Linked DNA regions of Canis lupus familiaris. The protein of the gene in region 4 interacts with the protein of the main gene of each other region in a pairwise test. Links are inferred from orthologs where the notes say so. Each region holds a gene or a part of one and is shown on either strand. Other genes may lie near its edges.

What was found.
Region 1: the proteins of TRIM23 (region 4) and GEM interact in binary tests that used the Homo sapiens proteins (3 or more experiments, as listed by UniProt). The two-hybrid records come from large-scale screens. The link is inferred for Canis lupus familiaris from reciprocal best matches to the Homo sapiens genes TRIM23 and GEM.
Region 2: the proteins of TRIM23 (region 4) and BAG1 interact in binary tests that used the Homo sapiens proteins (3 or more experiments, as listed by UniProt). The two-hybrid records come from large-scale screens. The link is inferred for Canis lupus familiaris from reciprocal best matches to the Homo sapiens genes TRIM23 and BAG1.
Region 3: the proteins of TRIM23 (region 4) and COX5B interact in binary tests that used the Homo sapiens proteins (3 or more experiments, as listed by UniProt). The two-hybrid records come from large-scale screens. The link is inferred for Canis lupus familiaris from reciprocal best matches to the Homo sapiens genes TRIM23 and COX5B.

What each region holds. Positions count from the first base shown.
Region 1 is NC_049250.1:39,678,278-39,682,451, reverse strand, and holds the end of GEM (GTP-binding protein GEM), read left to right. Parts: intron 1-169; coding exon 170-374; intron 375-2,129; coding exon 2,130-2,407; 3' UTR 2,408-3,510; downstream 3,511-4,174. UniProt on the Homo sapiens protein: Could be a regulatory protein, possibly participating in receptor-mediated signal transduction at the plasma membrane. Has guanine nucleotide-binding activity but undetectable intrinsic GTPase activity.
Region 2 is NC_049232.1:50,587,372-50,590,659, reverse strand, and holds part of BAG1 (BAG family molecular chaperone regulator 1), read left to right. Parts: intron 1-1,194; coding exon 1,195-1,302; intron 1,303-2,322; coding exon 2,323-2,385; intron 2,386-2,888; coding exon 2,889-2,978; 3' UTR 2,979-3,288. UniProt on the Homo sapiens protein: Co-chaperone for HSP70 and HSC70 chaperone proteins. Acts as a nucleotide-exchange factor (NEF) promoting the release of ADP from the HSP70 and HSC70 proteins thereby triggering client/substrate protein release.
Region 3 is NC_049231.1:46,036,440-46,040,769, reverse strand, and holds the end of COX5B (cytochrome c oxidase subunit 5B), read left to right. Parts: intron 1-2,688; coding exon 2,689-2,762; intron 2,763-2,929; coding exon 2,930-3,029; intron 3,030-3,553; coding exon 3,554-3,666; downstream 3,667-4,330. UniProt on the Homo sapiens protein: Component of the cytochrome c oxidase, the last enzyme in the mitochondrial electron transport chain which drives oxidative phosphorylation.
Region 4 is NC_049223.1:50,582,364-50,586,460, reverse strand, and holds part of TRIM23 (E3 ubiquitin-protein ligase TRIM23), read left to right. Parts: intron 1-68; coding exon 69-231; intron 232-1,186; coding exon 1,187-1,308; intron 1,309-4,097.

The DNA.
Region 1 (4,174 bases), on a different chromosome or scaffold from region 4:
ATTGGAGATGTGGTTTGGCCAAGTCGTCGTATTAATAATTCACCAACCCAAGCTGTATGTGGGAGGAGTGGACGGTAACAACTTTAGGAGGCGCGTATTGTTTCTCTGCGAAGGACACCTCACTCGCCAGGCCAACCCGAGCTCAGGGAGGGTCTTCTCGTTGTACCAGGGGGAGAACGAATGGCTCCAGGACCACTGCATGCAAGTCGGGGACGCCTACCTGATTGTCTACTCCATCACGGACCGAGCCAGCTTCGAGAAGGCATCTGAGCTGCGGATCCAGCTCCGCAGGGCCCGGCAGGCAGAGGACATCCCTATAATTTTGGTGGGCAACAAAAGTGACCTGGTTCGGTGCCGGGAAGTGTCTGTGTCAGGTAAGCGGAGCGGCGCCAGGACCGGGGCACAGTCTCGGGGTCGCCTGGCTTTCCTCCAGATGGGTGCCCTTTTCTCTTCTTTCATGAAGCCGGAGCCAGGGAAATGCCCCGTGGAGCGTCGTGGGGGAGGCTCCAGCGTTCCCCGCAGATCCTCTCTGTGCCGATGGCTGCGCCCTCGTCCTTCTGGCCCATGTGCCGCATTCCCCTGTCCCCGCCCTGGAATTCCGTTAGGGAAAAGAGCATGCTCGGCTCAGGGGAAGGGGGGGATTTACTAGCACTCCCCAACCTTTTCTCCTTGTCCTTTTCTCTAGGGAACTCTTTGGAGTTCAGGGAAAGAAACGTAAGATGGGAACTCTGATTGGGGGCAACTGTGAGAGTTTCAGTGAGAATAAGAATTCTACTCTGGTTGCCTCTGGTTCCTGGGGCCCCGGGAACACCCTCCTTCCTGTCCCCTACCTTTTCCTTCCTAGATTTCCATGAAGGCACCAACCTGATGGGGTCACACAGACATTTCCATCCATAGTTCAGGGATATCGCCTCTTTCCTTGGGTCCCTTGAGATGTTATTGGCCTAATACAGATCTGGTTCCTGGTACGATGGTAAAAAAATTAAATACTGCATTGTCGGGCCCCACTCAGGAGAAACGAAATCTGATAAGGACGTACCATATACAGCTAGCTTGGGGATGTCTCACTCTTAGGGGACGACTGTCTACAGCAGTCATTTTTTTTCTAACCAAAACGTGGATACAAGGTCAGGGAACACGACCGAGTGTTCAAAATTGAGGCTCTTCCGGAAAAGCCGGTCCATGCGGTTTGCTGGTGACCGTGTCGTACATTGGTGAAATCATCGAAAGTTTTTCGAAGTACCTCATTGAAGCTTTAAAATTGTTTTTTGAGAGAGAAAAGGCAAAAAGTAGGATTCTTGTTCAATTCAGGAAACTGAGTCAGGTGAAAGAGTTCCGAATCTGAGCTTGAGGACGAAGCAGGTCTGGATTCAGACTTAACAGGCTGTGGGAACTCCCTCGCATTTTGATTGATTGATTTTTGGAGATTGTATTTATTTAGTCATGAAAGGCAGAGACACAGGCAGAGGGAGAAGCAGGCGGGGAGCCTGATGCGGGACTCGATCCCAGGACCTGGGGATCACACCCTGAGCCAAAGGCAGGCAGACGCTCAACCGCTGAGCCACCTGGGCATCCGTCCCTCATGTTTTATTTTTTATTTTTTAATATTTTATTTATTTATTCATGAGCGGCACAGATAGAGGCAGAGACACAGGCAGAGGGAGAGCAGGCTCCCTGCAGGGAGCCCGAGATGGGACTTGATCCCAGGACCCCGGGGTCACCTCCCGAGCCAAAGGCAGGTGCTCCACCGCTGGGCCACCCAGGCGCCCATCCCTCATGTTTTTAAGAGATCCCCCTCACCCCAGTTTCTTCATCTGTCTGAAAGGGAGAATGGAGTTTTCGGGGTTGTTTTGAACCTGGGCATACGGTTCGTGCAGTGTTCAGCCCGGCGGCTCGGGCAGCGCCGTAACTGCAGGCTGTGGTTTTCCCGTTGGAGTTAAGGTCACGTCTCTGCTGGAGGGGCCCTCCTCCCGGGAGCCTGAGGCGGGCCAGGTGCCCATCCCGGCTCCCCTGCTTCCAGGAAGCTCCCCGCCACCCCGCCCGTGCACCCCTGGGGGACCCGCGTCGCCGTGGCCTGCGGCCCGGTGGCGCCGAGCGGCTCTGACTGTCCCGCCCTCCTTCCCCCGCAGAGGGCAGAGCGTGCGCCGTGGTGTTCGACTGCAAGTTCATCGAGACGTCGGCGGCCGTCCAGCACAACGTGAAGGAGCTGTTCGAGGGCATCGTGCGGCAGGTGCGCCTGCGGCGGGACAGCAAGGAGAAGAACGAGCGGCGGCTGGCCTACCAGAAGAGGCGGGAGAGCATCCCCAGGAAGGCCAGGCGCTTCTGGGGCAAGATCGTGGCCAAAAACAACAAGAATATGGCCTTCAAGCTCAAGTCCAAGTCCTGCCATGACCTCTCTGTGCTCTAGGCCCCCGGGGTCACCCAGATGTCCCCTGACGGACATCGTTGAGCGCCATCGGGACCGATAATCTATATTAGATTGCATCCTTCGGTACTATTACGTGCGGCTTCCCCCACTGTAGCTGGGAATTCACGTGTTAGCCTCACGGGCAGCCAAGGGCATGGCAGACCACAGGTCTTTGTAAAAATCAGTATTTATTTGCAGGAAAAGCCTGACCTTGCTACTGGAACACCCGAGACTCCTGAGAGGGTGTGTTCGGTGTTCACACGTGTTTCCTCTCTCCTCCGGATAGTAGAGGATGGAAGGAAGCCTGCACCAGAACGCTCAGAACGAGGACTTTTCATTATTAAAATTTGTCCCGGTGTTCCAGGAGAGGAAGCTGAGGCCAGGGGGCCATAAACAAATATAGGAAAGCCGTCAAAGGATTAATCCGCGGGCGGGAAAATGAATCTCTCTGTACCGTATACTCATGGAGCTAGGCTTGTAGAACCGGGCTCCTCATAATCGTGACTATTATTGCTCCATCAAGCTGTGAAAAGAAATGATGGACCTTGCTGGAAACTAAAGCTTAGCAAAGGATTTTTGTGCAATGCCCACAGTTGGGGATCCAGAAATTTATAGCATTGGAACTGATACCGATACCGCTTACGGGATCAAAAATCCTATCTTCGCTTCTGTGTCTTACAGTGTTTTGTTTGGGGCAAAATTATTTAAATCACATTCTACGTAGTCGAACCGCCTCTCATGTTTCATGGTTTTTAAAGTCTTGGGGCCATCATGAATATATTTTTCAAATCTGAATTGTTGATAACCCGGAGTGCGAAATGCCAAATTTTGAAATATGATCAAAAGTCTGAGTTTTTATAAAACACGAAAGGCGAATACTTCCAGTGCTTCGGGTTGACCCTTGTATGCCACAGCTCTGCTCTATTTATTGTTATTTTGCAAAATAATAATCATTTTAACATTTGATAAAGCATATTTATGAACATATTTCTTAATAGGAAAAATGTCCATTTTATTACCATTTTCTATCTTTTTCAGAATATGCGAGTTTTTACCTATATGTCTTATAATAAAAAGAAATAAAATCTTTGGGAAAAAAGGCATTCTTAAAATGTTTTTCCTCCCCAAATAAGCCGATTATGATGCTTTCCGTATAGCTTCTAGGGAAGCCGTCTGTCCTCCCTGATCCAACCATCCTATGCCGGACATACGCAAGCGCACCCTATGGAAACATACCTGTTATTTTATATTTTATATTTATTTCTTCTTTTCATCGGTGGTGGCCCCGTTGTTGTTTGTTTCAAAGACTACCCCTGACACCTCTCCTCTGGAGCCATGGGTCACAGTAACACAAGGTTATTTTTGGCTAATACAGTTGGGAAGTATTTGGGGTCCTCTAAATGCTAAGTTACGGTAAAAGCCAGATTGATCTTTTGGTTTGGCAAATTCCTGACTGAGCAGATGGGCCTTTGCTCCCCGAAGGCTCATGGTCTTAAGCTTGACTAAAGCATTAGAGGAAATTATAAAGGATTAGGGGGGAAAAAAAGGAACCTGGTGATTTTCAGCCTGAGATCTAGCCAGGCAAGGAGAACGTGGTTAGCGCTTTGCCCTCCCTGCGTTTCTGAGTCTGTAATGAGACACGCAGCCGTGGCACCTGCGACACCGCCTAACGCAACAGCTTTAGGTAACTCAGTTCTGCAGGCCCGTTCTCCTCCTTTTTTCCGAATTGAGCGCGGAGGTACCCATCTCTGTGCACCCCGCCTCCTT
Region 2 (3,288 bases), on a different chromosome or scaffold from region 4:
AGCAATGTGACTACATAGCAAGATAATTTAATAAAAACAATGTAAATGTGGCTTTTTTTTTTAAGATTTTATTTATTTGAGAAAGAGAAGTGTGCGTGTACACAAGCACACAAGCAGGGGCAGGGGGCAGAGGGAGAAAGAGAATCCCCAGTGAGCAGGGAGCCTGATACAGGGCTCCATCCCAGGACTCTGAGATCATGACCTGAGCTGAAGGCAGACACCTAAGTGACTGAGCCACCCAGGCACCCCAATGTTGCTGTTTGTTAACACATGTCTGTGTCAGGAATTATGTTAAGAGTCTATATATATTTCTCTTTATCCTCCTAGTATCATAATCTGGTGTGGGTATCATAATCTCCATTTTAAAAATGAGGATATTGGGCAGCCCCAATGGCTCAGCGGTTTAGTGCTCCCTTCAGCCTGGGGTGTGATCCTGGAGACCTGGGATCGAGTCCCACGTTGGGCTCCCTGCATGGAGCCTGCTTCTCCCCCTGCCTGTGTCTCTGCCTCTCTCTGTGTGTGTCTCTCATAAATAAATAAATAAAATCTTTTAAAAAAATTAAAAAATAAAAAATAAATAAAAATGAGGACATTAAGGCTCAGAGAGGTTGAGTAACTTGTACAAGATCACAAGCCAGTAAATGACAGAATTCAAGCCTGGGCCTATCAGACTCTACACCTTGTATTTTGTTTTGTTTTGTGGCTTAAAGATTTTATCTACTTATTTGACTGAGAGAAAAAGAGAGCACAAGCAGGGGAATTGACAGGCAGAGGGAGAAGCAGGCTACCCACTCAGCAGAGAGCCTGAGGCAGGGCTCGATCCCAGGACCCCTGGATCATGACCTGAGTTGAAGGCAGATGCTTAATGGACTGAGCCACTCGGGCATCCCTACACCTTATGTTCTTAACATCTGCTTCTATGTGGGTATACACTGGTGACTGAAGGCTTCATCGGAGCCAGGGCTCAGGAGGCATTAGCAGCCCCAGTGGGCCGTGTGAGATAGTGGCCTGCAGCCTATTACAGTGCTTTGGGTGGCTCTGTTTTTTCCAAGAGATGAAATTCTGGGTTTGAGGTCTGGACTAGCCTATTGGGGGGAATGTGGGCTCAGTGTGTGGCTACTTCATCAGTGCCTTGGCATGAAGTTTTCTGTCAGCCTCAAGGAACCCTTGCAAGAATGCATTATTCCTGTACAGGGTTTTCTGGCCAAGGATTTGCAAGCTGAAGCTCTCTGCAAACTTGATAAGAGAGTAAAAGCCACAATCGAGCAATTTATGAAGATCTTGGAAGAGATTGACACACTGGTAAGTAAATATTCAGCTGAGAAGAACTAGTTTCCTTTGACTCTTTTTTTTTTTTTTTTTTTTTTTTTTAGATTTTATTTATTTATTCATGAGAGACACAGAGAGAGAGAGAGAGGCAGAGACACAGGCAGAGGGAGAAGCAGGCTCCATGCAGGGAACCCGATGCGGGACCCCATCCCGGGTCTCCAGGATCACACCCTGGGCCAAAGGCAGCGCTAAGCTGCTGAGCCACCTGGGCTGCCCTCCTTTGACTCTTTTTCAGTGAGTTTCACTCTTTCAGTAAAGCACTCTTACTGTCTGAGGATATTGAGCACCTGCTGTGTGCGAGACACTGCTCAGTCCTTGGTAGATACACAGAAAGACAAGATAGTTCCTGATTTTTAAGCAGTCACATCCACCAACGTAGGGCTTTTGTCATTTTTATATTTCCTAAAAGCATCTAATCCTCACAAAGTTGGAACCCAAATGGACTGTGATTTTATGGCCAGAGAAACAGAGGGCTTCATGATACTCATATGACTGGTGATTCCATTGGGTTCATTATCTGTAAAGAATTCAGCCAGACTCAGTCTCTTGTGAGACTATTGGGAATCATCAACTCCATGATCCCTTTTACAGAAAAGATGGTAATGATATTTCCAGCTAGATGCCTCATTTTTGAGGGTGAATTACTCTGCATAGGATTCTCGGGGAGTGAGGGAGGTTGTAAAGAATAAGCACAGTGAGCTCATGGCATGGCCAGGACGTAGTATCTGTACATAGAAAGGAGAGAAAGGACAAAGTCCATGGTACAGATCAGTTTCCATGGCCCAGACACTGAGAGCAAAGGGAGCTTTTATAGGGGTGAGAGCCATGGGAAGGGCCATGTGGAATACAGATCAAGGGAGGAAATCATTCCTGAAAATGCAAGTCTCGTTCATGTTGGTGACTTATGATGCATTTGGTGTACTGTGGGTATTTCATCATGTTGTTATGTCATTCTTACTGAGATTATTTATGTGTCAATTTATTCTTCCACAGATTCTGCCGGAAAATTTCAAAGACAGTAGACTGAAAAGGAAGGGTTTGGTGAAAAGGGTTCAGGTGAGCTGTGTGATCAAGCATTCAAAGTTTAATGTGTGTGTTTATCTGTTCAGAGTAGGGTAGGGCAAAAGTGTGATGTGTGGTATGGACATTTTTTGGTTGTTATTTCATGAGTCCAGAATCTAAGAGAAGAGCTCCTTTCATGTCCCTGTAATTGTATTTGAATTTAAATTAATTGGGGAGGAAGATTGTTGGAGAGCAGTTATAGCTGCCATATGACACAATTTCAGGAGGCACTATTCATGTTCCCTGAAATTGTGCAGTACAGTGGCAAGGCTTCCTGTCCTCACCACCCCTCTGGAGGATTGTTGTCAGAAACCCTGCTCCTACACTGGCCTCTGCCTCCCTCCCCTTATCTGGGAGCCCAGGCTGGCTCCATTCCTCTATAGCCTGTTTTAAATCATTCACCCAGGGGTTCCCCATAATGGCTGAGCAAGAGCCTTGTATGGGCAGGGAATGGCTAGTCCTGGATGGTCCCTCACTGCCCTGCATTCACGTTTTAGGCATTCCTGGCTGAGTGTGACACTGTGGAGCAGAACATCTGCCAGGAGACAGAGCGGCTGCAGTCCACAAACTTGGCTCTGGCCGAGTGAGGTGAGGCGGAGAGAGGCTGGGCCGCCCTGAAGAACAGCTCCACCAGCTCTGCCCTCTCTGGGACAGAAGTGACCTGATTTCACCAGGGCCGCTGGGGACAATTGGCCACTTGCCAGTTTTCCTGAACCTACCCCTGTTCTCGATGAACAAGTGTTGTCTGCAGTCCTAAGTAGAGCCCCTGTCTGTTTTCTCATTGTTTCTCTGTGTGGCTGCGCTGTCCAGCAGCCTACCTTGTCTGGAGAGGACCTCCCCTGCCAAGTCTTCCCCGCTCTTTCGACCTTTGGGTACTTCCCTTGGGTTGGCAGAACC
Region 3 (4,330 bases), on a different chromosome or scaffold from region 4:
TAAAGAGTTTATTTATTTATTCATGAGAGACAGAGAGAGAGGCAGAGACACAGGCAGAGGGAGAAGCAGGCTCCATGCAGGGAGCCTGACATGGGACTCGATCCTGGGTCTCTGGGATCAGGCCCTGGGCTGAAGGCAGGGGCTAAACCGCTGAGCCACCCAGGGATTCCCCAGTGTTTACACTTTTAAACGCCCACCCTTCTAAGAACCTTGCACACCTTGGCTTGTGGGCAACAGGAGCTATGAAAGATGTTTTCAGTATTAAACAGAAACCTCTGGCCCAGGTACCTTCGGTGACTTCATTTCCCATTCTCAGCTTCTCTTCTTGCTCTTTTTGTTTGTGGCAAACTATGCTCAGAGACTGAGATTGTATTTACCAATAATTTATTTAACACATGTTCACTCAGGGAATTAAAATTTATATTTCACAAGCCAATAGCATACAGGACCTCTTTATACGGCAATTAGGAAATAACATACTTCAAACCAGTGACAGGTTAATTATGCAATTGTTCTAGGCAAAGGGGAGATGAAAGAAAGTCCAAATTTAGTTGAGGTGTACCTTTCCACGCTGGGTAGAGTCAGCCCTTTCAACTAAAAGCTGGATATCAGAGCACCGGCACTGCAGGGCACCAGTGTTGGCAGGAATGTGGGCTGCTTCGAAGGGATCACTAAACCAATCATGCCACTGCCTCGGAATGCCAAGGCCGGCACAGATGCCCCTTCTCCAAGACTGCTGTGTGGTCACCACTGCTGACCAAAAGTAGCATCACTAGGGCGGGAGGAAGGGTGTCAAGGTCTTCAGGAACTATATTTAGATCAAGAAAGAGTGGCTCTGCCCAGACTGAACACTCTCGAGTTGTTGACCAAACCTCTTAGAAGTCTGTCACATGGACGCACTGCTGTTACTCCGGTGTCAGTGACATAATAGTCCTCTCCACTCCAGGTGGGACAGTTCATTAAGAAAGTCCTAATACCAGCAATGTCCACAATAGCCAAACTGTGGAAGGAGCCTTGGTGTCCATGGAAAGATGAATGGATAAAGAAGATGTGGTCTATGTATACGATGGAATATTCCTCAGCCATTAGAAACGACAAATACCCACCATTTGCTTCAACGTGGATGGAACTGGAGGGTATTTGCTGAGTGAAGTAAGTCAATCGGAGAAGGACAAACATTATATGGTCTCATTCATTTGGGGAATATAAAAAATAGTGAAAGGGAATAAAGGGGAAAGGAGAGAAAATGAGTGGGAAATATCAGGGAGACAACATGAGAGACTCCTAACTCTGGGAAACGAACAAGGGGTAGTGGAAGGGAGGTGGGCGGGCACTGACGGGGGCACTTGATGGGATGAGCACTGGGTGTTATGCTGTATGTTGGCAAATTGAACACCAAAAAAAAAAAAAAAAAAGTCCTAATACCCAACTTCAAAACAAAGTTCAAACCACACAGAACCTGCCCCAACCTCCTTCCCCTTCGGGTCCCACCTCAGGCCTGGACCTCACCTCCACTGTAACAGTGCCCGTAGGTCCTGCCCAAGTGCTCACAGACGGGCCAATTCAGCAAGTCCCCGATGCTTCACACTGCCCGGGGACCCGCCTACCGGTTAACACTGGCCTTACCGAGCCCGCCCTCAAATTTGGGTCCAGCAGGTCTGACAGACTCGGGCTTAGGACTTCTATCAAGCGGCCGCCTCATTTACAGAGCACAACTAGCAGGAAAGCTGCACAGGAAGTCCACCGTGGTCGCCTAACTCTATGGTCGAGGCCACGGAGTCCAGCCGGCGCAAAACGAGCTGCCCCGGCGTTCGTAAAGGGCACGGCCCGAGGAGCCCCCGTACACGCCACAGCCAGACCGCGCCCCCGCCTCCCGCGCTGCGCGGCGGAGGACGCGAGCGGGAACCAGGCATGCGCGGACTCCTCCGTCCCCTGCCAGAGTCACGTGAGTGGGGCGGGCTCGAGGCCTGAGAGGAAGCGGAAGTCGCGCTTCTCTCCGGAGCTTGCTCCCGGAAGTGCTGCTGTTTGTAGCGGGCGTGATGGCTTCAAGGTTACTTCGCGGAGTTGGAGCGCTGGCCGCGCAGGCCCTCAGGGCTCGCGGTCCCAATGGAGTCGCCGCGGTGCGCTCAATGGCGTCTGGAGGTACTCGGCCTGCCCGGCGCGTCAGGGAACCGTGCCGTTGCCTTCCCGGGGTGGTGCCTGGGCAGCGAAGCGGGGCGGGCCGTTCAGCGTCTCGGGGCCCCAGTGACCGCTCGGGGGCCCCGAGTGACTCCGCCTCCGTGGGGGTCTCCCAGTTATCCTGGTCCCCTGTGCTGCCCCTCACCGAACTGCCCCCGGTTGCGATAAATCTTAAACCGAGGTGCCAGGTGACCTTGGGGCACAGGGGTTGCAACCGGGATGTGGAGAGGCCAAGCTGCCCTTCAGACCCGCGCTCACCTCAAGTGCGATGAACCCTACTAGGACTCTGACTTGCTTTTAGGGAAAATGTGCAGAAATACTGGCCTCCGTGATTGAAGGAAGAAAAGATTACCCGGGGCTGCCGCTTTGGGGTATCAGGACCGTGGTCCTTAGGAGACAATGTGTATGAGTAGCCTTTAGGAGTTTGTAAACTGTATGTAAACATTTATGTATATGCATTTGTCGTCCTGATAATTCAGACAATATCAAAATTCACGTATTTTCCTTTAGGTGGTGTTCCTACTGATGACGAGCAGGCGACAGGGCTGGAGAGGGAGGTCATGATGGCCGCACGGAAGGGACTGGTGAGAAACTCCTTTTTGTGTCTTCTCTGGGGTTCATGATCTTGGATGGGATCAGAGCAGGTTCCTCTCTGGGAGCATCTGAGATAGGAAACCTGACTTGTGGGAACAGTACCACTAGCCTCTGGAGGCTACGGGTCATTTGGCATAATGGCTTAATTCTTTTTCAGGACCCATACAATATTCTAGCCCCAAAGGCAGCTGCAGGCACCAAAGAAGACCCTAATTTAGTCCCATCTATCACCAACAAGCGAATAGTGGGCTGCATCTGTAAGTACCTCACCACTCTTGTCCATTTGTTTAATATATACAGGACGTCAGTAAGAGGTTTCAAATCTTTTGAGTGCATGGTGTGTTCGTGTAAAGGGGATGTGTGTGTAAATGAGTTATTGTAAGGGTCCCCTGGCCCTTTCAAGCTTCATTAACCCTTCATTAGTATCAGCTCATTGGAGATGCAGCATGAGAGAGTTGATCCAGAAAATATTTGTTGTATTTCCTTCCTCTTTGCCAGACACTGTTTTAGGCACTAGGGATACATACTAGAAAGGACTGTGCTTTGGGATTCTACATAGGCAGAGGAACTGTTAGAACTTAATGGTGACTTTGATGTAAGGTTAGTTTACTCATAGATAACTCGGGGCCTCATTTCATCTGAAAAGTGGGGAAGGAGAGAGCTTGAATTGATCTCTTCAGGTGTCAACCATAACTGTGTCTTAGAGGTGTCTGAGGATGAGGTTAATATTGAAAGTCTCCACTTCAGGTTGGATGGCCTTCAACCACCTTTTCCCTTTCAGGTGAAGAGGACAATAGTACCGTCATCTGGTTTTGGCTGCACAAAGGCGAGGCCCAGCGATGCCCTAGCTGTGGAACCCATTACAAGCTGGTGCCCCACCAGTTGGCCCACTGAGCCTTTGCACTAATTTACTCAAAATGTGCTGTGAAGTTTCTTCTTTCCAATAAAGACTAGCCATTGCATTGGCTCCTTCTCCCATAGTTGGCTGGTCTTGTTTCTATCCTGTGTCTTTTGTGAGGCCTGGATTTTTACATTGGGAATAGCTATCTGTTAATATTAGCTTGCTATCCATGTGTTTGTGTACGCCAAGATTGACAATCCCATAGTACAGTGATTGAGACCATCTGCTATGGAGAAAGCATGGGCTATGGCATCAGACTGACTCGACTTTTAATAATGGCTCCATCATTTAGTTTTGTCACTGGAACATGTACTCTGCGGATAGGTTATATCTTTTAAAAAAAATAAATATTTTGTGAGGCATTAGAAATAATATATAAAGAGCCTGGCAGTTGGTTCACAGTAATGTTATAAAAATAGGGTGACCTTGTGACCAGAGTTTTGGGGGTTTTGAAGTTTTGGGGTTCAAAGCATAGTTCATGGAGATACCATTATCAAAATCCAGAATATGAGGCAATTCCAGAAATCAATGACCAGTTTCTTCAAATAAATTGCAATGAGGAGGGACACCTTGCTGGCTCAGACAGTAGAGCATGCCACTCTTGAACTGAGGGTCATGAGTTCAAGCTCCACATTGAGTGTGGAGCCTACTTTTTAT
Region 4 (4,097 bases):
TCATGAATAAATAAGTAAAATATTAAAAAAAAATCATTCAAAGAGCACGTTTCCTTTCCAAACACTAGGTGCTGGAGTGTGGAGTTTGTGAAGATGTCTTTTCTTTGCAAGGAGATAAAGTTCCTCGCCTTCTGCTTTGTGGCCACACAGTCTGTCATGACTGTCTTACCCGCCTGCCTCTTCATGGAAGAGCAATCCGTTGCCCTTTTGATCGACAAGTAACAGATCTAGGTAGGAAAATACATTGTATGTATTTAAGTTTTAAAATTGTAGGGATCCCTGGGTGGCGCAGCGGTTTGGCGCCTGCCTTTGGCACAGGGCGCGATCCTGGAGACCCGGGATCGATTCCCACGTCAGGCTCCCGGTGCATGGAGCCTGCTTCTCTCTCTGCCTGTGTCTCTGCCTCTCTTTCTCTCTCTGTGACTATCATAAATAAATAAAAAAAAAAAAAATTAAAAAAAATAAATAAAATTGTTTGTTTTATTTGTGTGAAAAAGAGTTTTTATAGTCATTGAGTGCTGCAGATTCTAGTTTAAATGAGAGGTGGGGAAAAAAGATTATGTTTAGCTGTTTGAGTTCCATTTTACTAAGGAGTTATTTTAGGTTAAGTGTATGTTTCTTACAGTGGTTTTCAGACATGAATCATAGCTTATTTGTAGTTATAAAATCAGTTTAATTGGCTGTGAGCATGATTTTTAAAAGAAGAAATAGAACAAAAATGTGGGTGTGTTGCACACTGTAAGGGTGAATATTGGTGTGTGAAACTCTTGTTTCAGATGTATATATACACATATTTAAAAAAAGTATTGATATATATATATAAATAAACGTATGCTATTCTGTGTTGTAATTGAAAATATGTTTCTTACTGAAAGTTGATATAAAAAATATTTTAAAGCCTTTGGTTTAATATATGTAGTAAAAATCAATGATAGGATTTATAGAGTTAAATGATAGAAAAATAGTAGAACTTTAAGTATGTTTCTACTCGCAATGCTAAGGAACTGTTTTTTAAAGAGAATTTTAGCAAGACAATAGTTCTAACATAAAAAGATAATGAGGAAATTTGAATTTTGAAAATTTAGATATTAATGATTAAAATATAAGACAAATTACTATTGAGGTATAGTAAAGGTAAAATTATTAATAGTCCATTTTGTTAGATTTAGTTATTTTTATATTCTAGGAGATTCAGGTGTTTGGGGATTGAAAAAAAATTTTGCTTTATTGGAGCTTTTGGAACGACTGCAGAATGGACATATTGGTCAATGTGGAGCTGCAGAAGAAGCCATTGGAATATCTGGAGAGGTACTGATAGAACATGTGAAATATTTATTATGAGTATGAATTTTTTCTTTTAATTTAAAATCTTTGCATTAAAAGCACAATCTTACCTCACTTGCTCCAGCAGATAGGATTCCAGAAACATAACTTTTCATTATATTACAGGTTTGTAGGCAGCAATATTTCCAGCTAAATAGCAATTCTCTGAAAATACTATACCCAAAGTATGTTTTATATATAAACTTATCTCCTTATTATAATTCAGTTCTACCCAAGGATAAAGTCAAAGAGTAAGAAGGTTATGGAATGGTAAGAAGAAGGTGTAAGCTACATTAAACCAAGGATGCAAAAGTGAATCAACAGTAAATAGTACAGCACAAAGAAAGAGGAACTCCTTGAAAAAGGCCATTTAATGTAGAGGCCAAATGCATTAAAAATAGCAGTAGCTCCTGAGGGAATTATTACTATTAAATATCTTCATGAAAAGTTTAAATTGTGTGTAAGTATACTCTCTTTATCCAACAGGCTGATCGTCCAGTAAATATTAGAATGAAGCTCATTAACACAGGTTAAAATACATTTTTATTTTTATTTATTTTTATTTTTTAAATTTAGTACGCTCCATGCCCAATGTGGGGCTTGAACTCATGACCCTGAGATCAAGAGTTGCATGCTCTAGACTGAGCCAGCCAGGCGCCCCTTAAAATACATTTTTAATGCTTGGAGGATTGTCGCCATAGCTCATATATTGTACTAGATATAAGAATAGTTGTAGTAAATAACAGTTAGTGATTTTGGTGATCAACTTTAAAACCACAGGTTCAGTATCAAGGAAAAAAAGTCATTGATTTCTACCTCTTTTTTATTAGGTCATGATTTCTTTATGTAAAGTGATTCACTGAAGTGAATTTCAGACTGGAACACTTTTTTTTTTTTTCTTTAAAGAGTTTATTTAAATTCAAGTTAGTTAACGTGTAGTATAGGATTAGTTTCAGGGTTAAATTTAGTGATTCATCAGTTGCCTGTAACACCCAGTGCTCGTATATCATGTGCCCTCCTTAATGTTTATCACCCATTTACCCCATTCCCTAATCCACCTTCCCTCCAGCAACCCTCAGGTTGTTCCTGTAGTTAAGCATCTCTTAATGGTTTGCCTCCTTCTCTGTTTTTATCTTAATGTCTTTTTCCTTCCCTTCCCCTATGTTCATCTTTTTTTGTTTGTTAGATTCCACACATGAGTGAAATCATTTGTCTTTGTGTGACTGATTTATTTTGCTTAGCATAATACCCTCTGGTTCCATCCACAATTTTGCAAATTTCATTCTTTTTATGGCTGAGTAATATTCCATTGTATCTATATATACATATTTATCTGTTCATCTGTTAATGGACTTTTGGACTCTTTGTATATTTTGGCTATTGTGGATAGTGCTGCTACAAACATTGGGGTGCATGTGCCCCTTTGAATCACTATTTTTGTATCCTTTGGATAAATACCTAGTAGTGTAATTGCTGAGTTGTAGAGTAGTTCTGTTTTTTTTTAACTTTTCGAGGAAGCTTCATACTGTTTTCCAGAGTGGCTGCATTGGTTTGCATTCCTACCCTCAAAGCAAAGGGTTTTCCTTTCTCTGCATCCTCCCCAACATCTGTTATTTTCTGAGTTGTTACTTTTAGCCATTCTAACTGATGTGAGGTGGCATTTCATTATGGCTTTGATCTGTATTTCTCTGATGCTGAGTGATGTTGAACAGTTTTTCATGTGACTGTTTACTCTTTATATATATATCTTCTTTTGAGAAATGTCTGTTCCTGTCTTCCACCACTTCTTAACTGGATTTTTTTATTTTAGGGGTATTGATTTTGGTAAGTTCTTTATAGATTTTGGATACTAGCCCTTTATCTATGTGTCATTTGCAAATACCTTCTCCTATTCTGTAGGTTGCCTTTTAGTTTTGTTGACTGTTTCCTTTGCTGTGCAGAAGCTTTTTTATCTTGATGAAGTCCCAAAGGTTCATTTTTGCTTTTGTTTCCCTTGCCCCTGGAGATGTGTCTAGTAAGAATTTGCTGTGGTTGAGATCCCAGAGGTTGCTTCCGTTCTCTTCTAGGATTTTGATAGATTCCTGTCTCACATTTAGGTCTTTAATCCATTTTGAATTTAATTTTGTGGATGGTGTAAGAAAACGGTCCAGTTTCATTCTTCTGTATATGGCTGTCCAGTTTTCCCAACACCATTCGTTGAAGGGACTGTGTTTTTTCCATTGGCTATTCTCTCCTGCTTTGTTGAATATTAGTTGACCACAGAGTTGTGGGGAGCACTGTTTTCTAAAATGTTTGTAGTTCTTTCATGTGCTATATCTTTATCTTTCAAAAGACATTAGAATATTGTCTAATATTGACCTTGTAAATTATTTTTCATGTCTGGAAAACAGAAGACATGAATTTTTAGTTTTATGTGTATGTGTTTCTCAAAATTGCAAGTAAAAATGTTTACCTTTGAGTTCATTTCTTAATTTACTTTTTAAAATTTATTTTTAAATTTATTTTATTTTTTTTAATTTCTTAATTTAATGTGATATTAAATGACACCATTGATATATTTTCTAATTTTTATTTCTGGAACAATTTATTCCAAGTTTCTCCCTTTCCAGTTATGGTCCTTTATTAAGCGTAAGTTTCAAAACATTCTTGATTATCTAACATGTAAAGTTTTTTAATTTGAATGCTTTTTGTAATTCATGAAAATTAGAAATAATATTTAAAAGCTTATATACAACATAGATTTTATTTATTTTTTATTTGGTTAACTCAGTGCT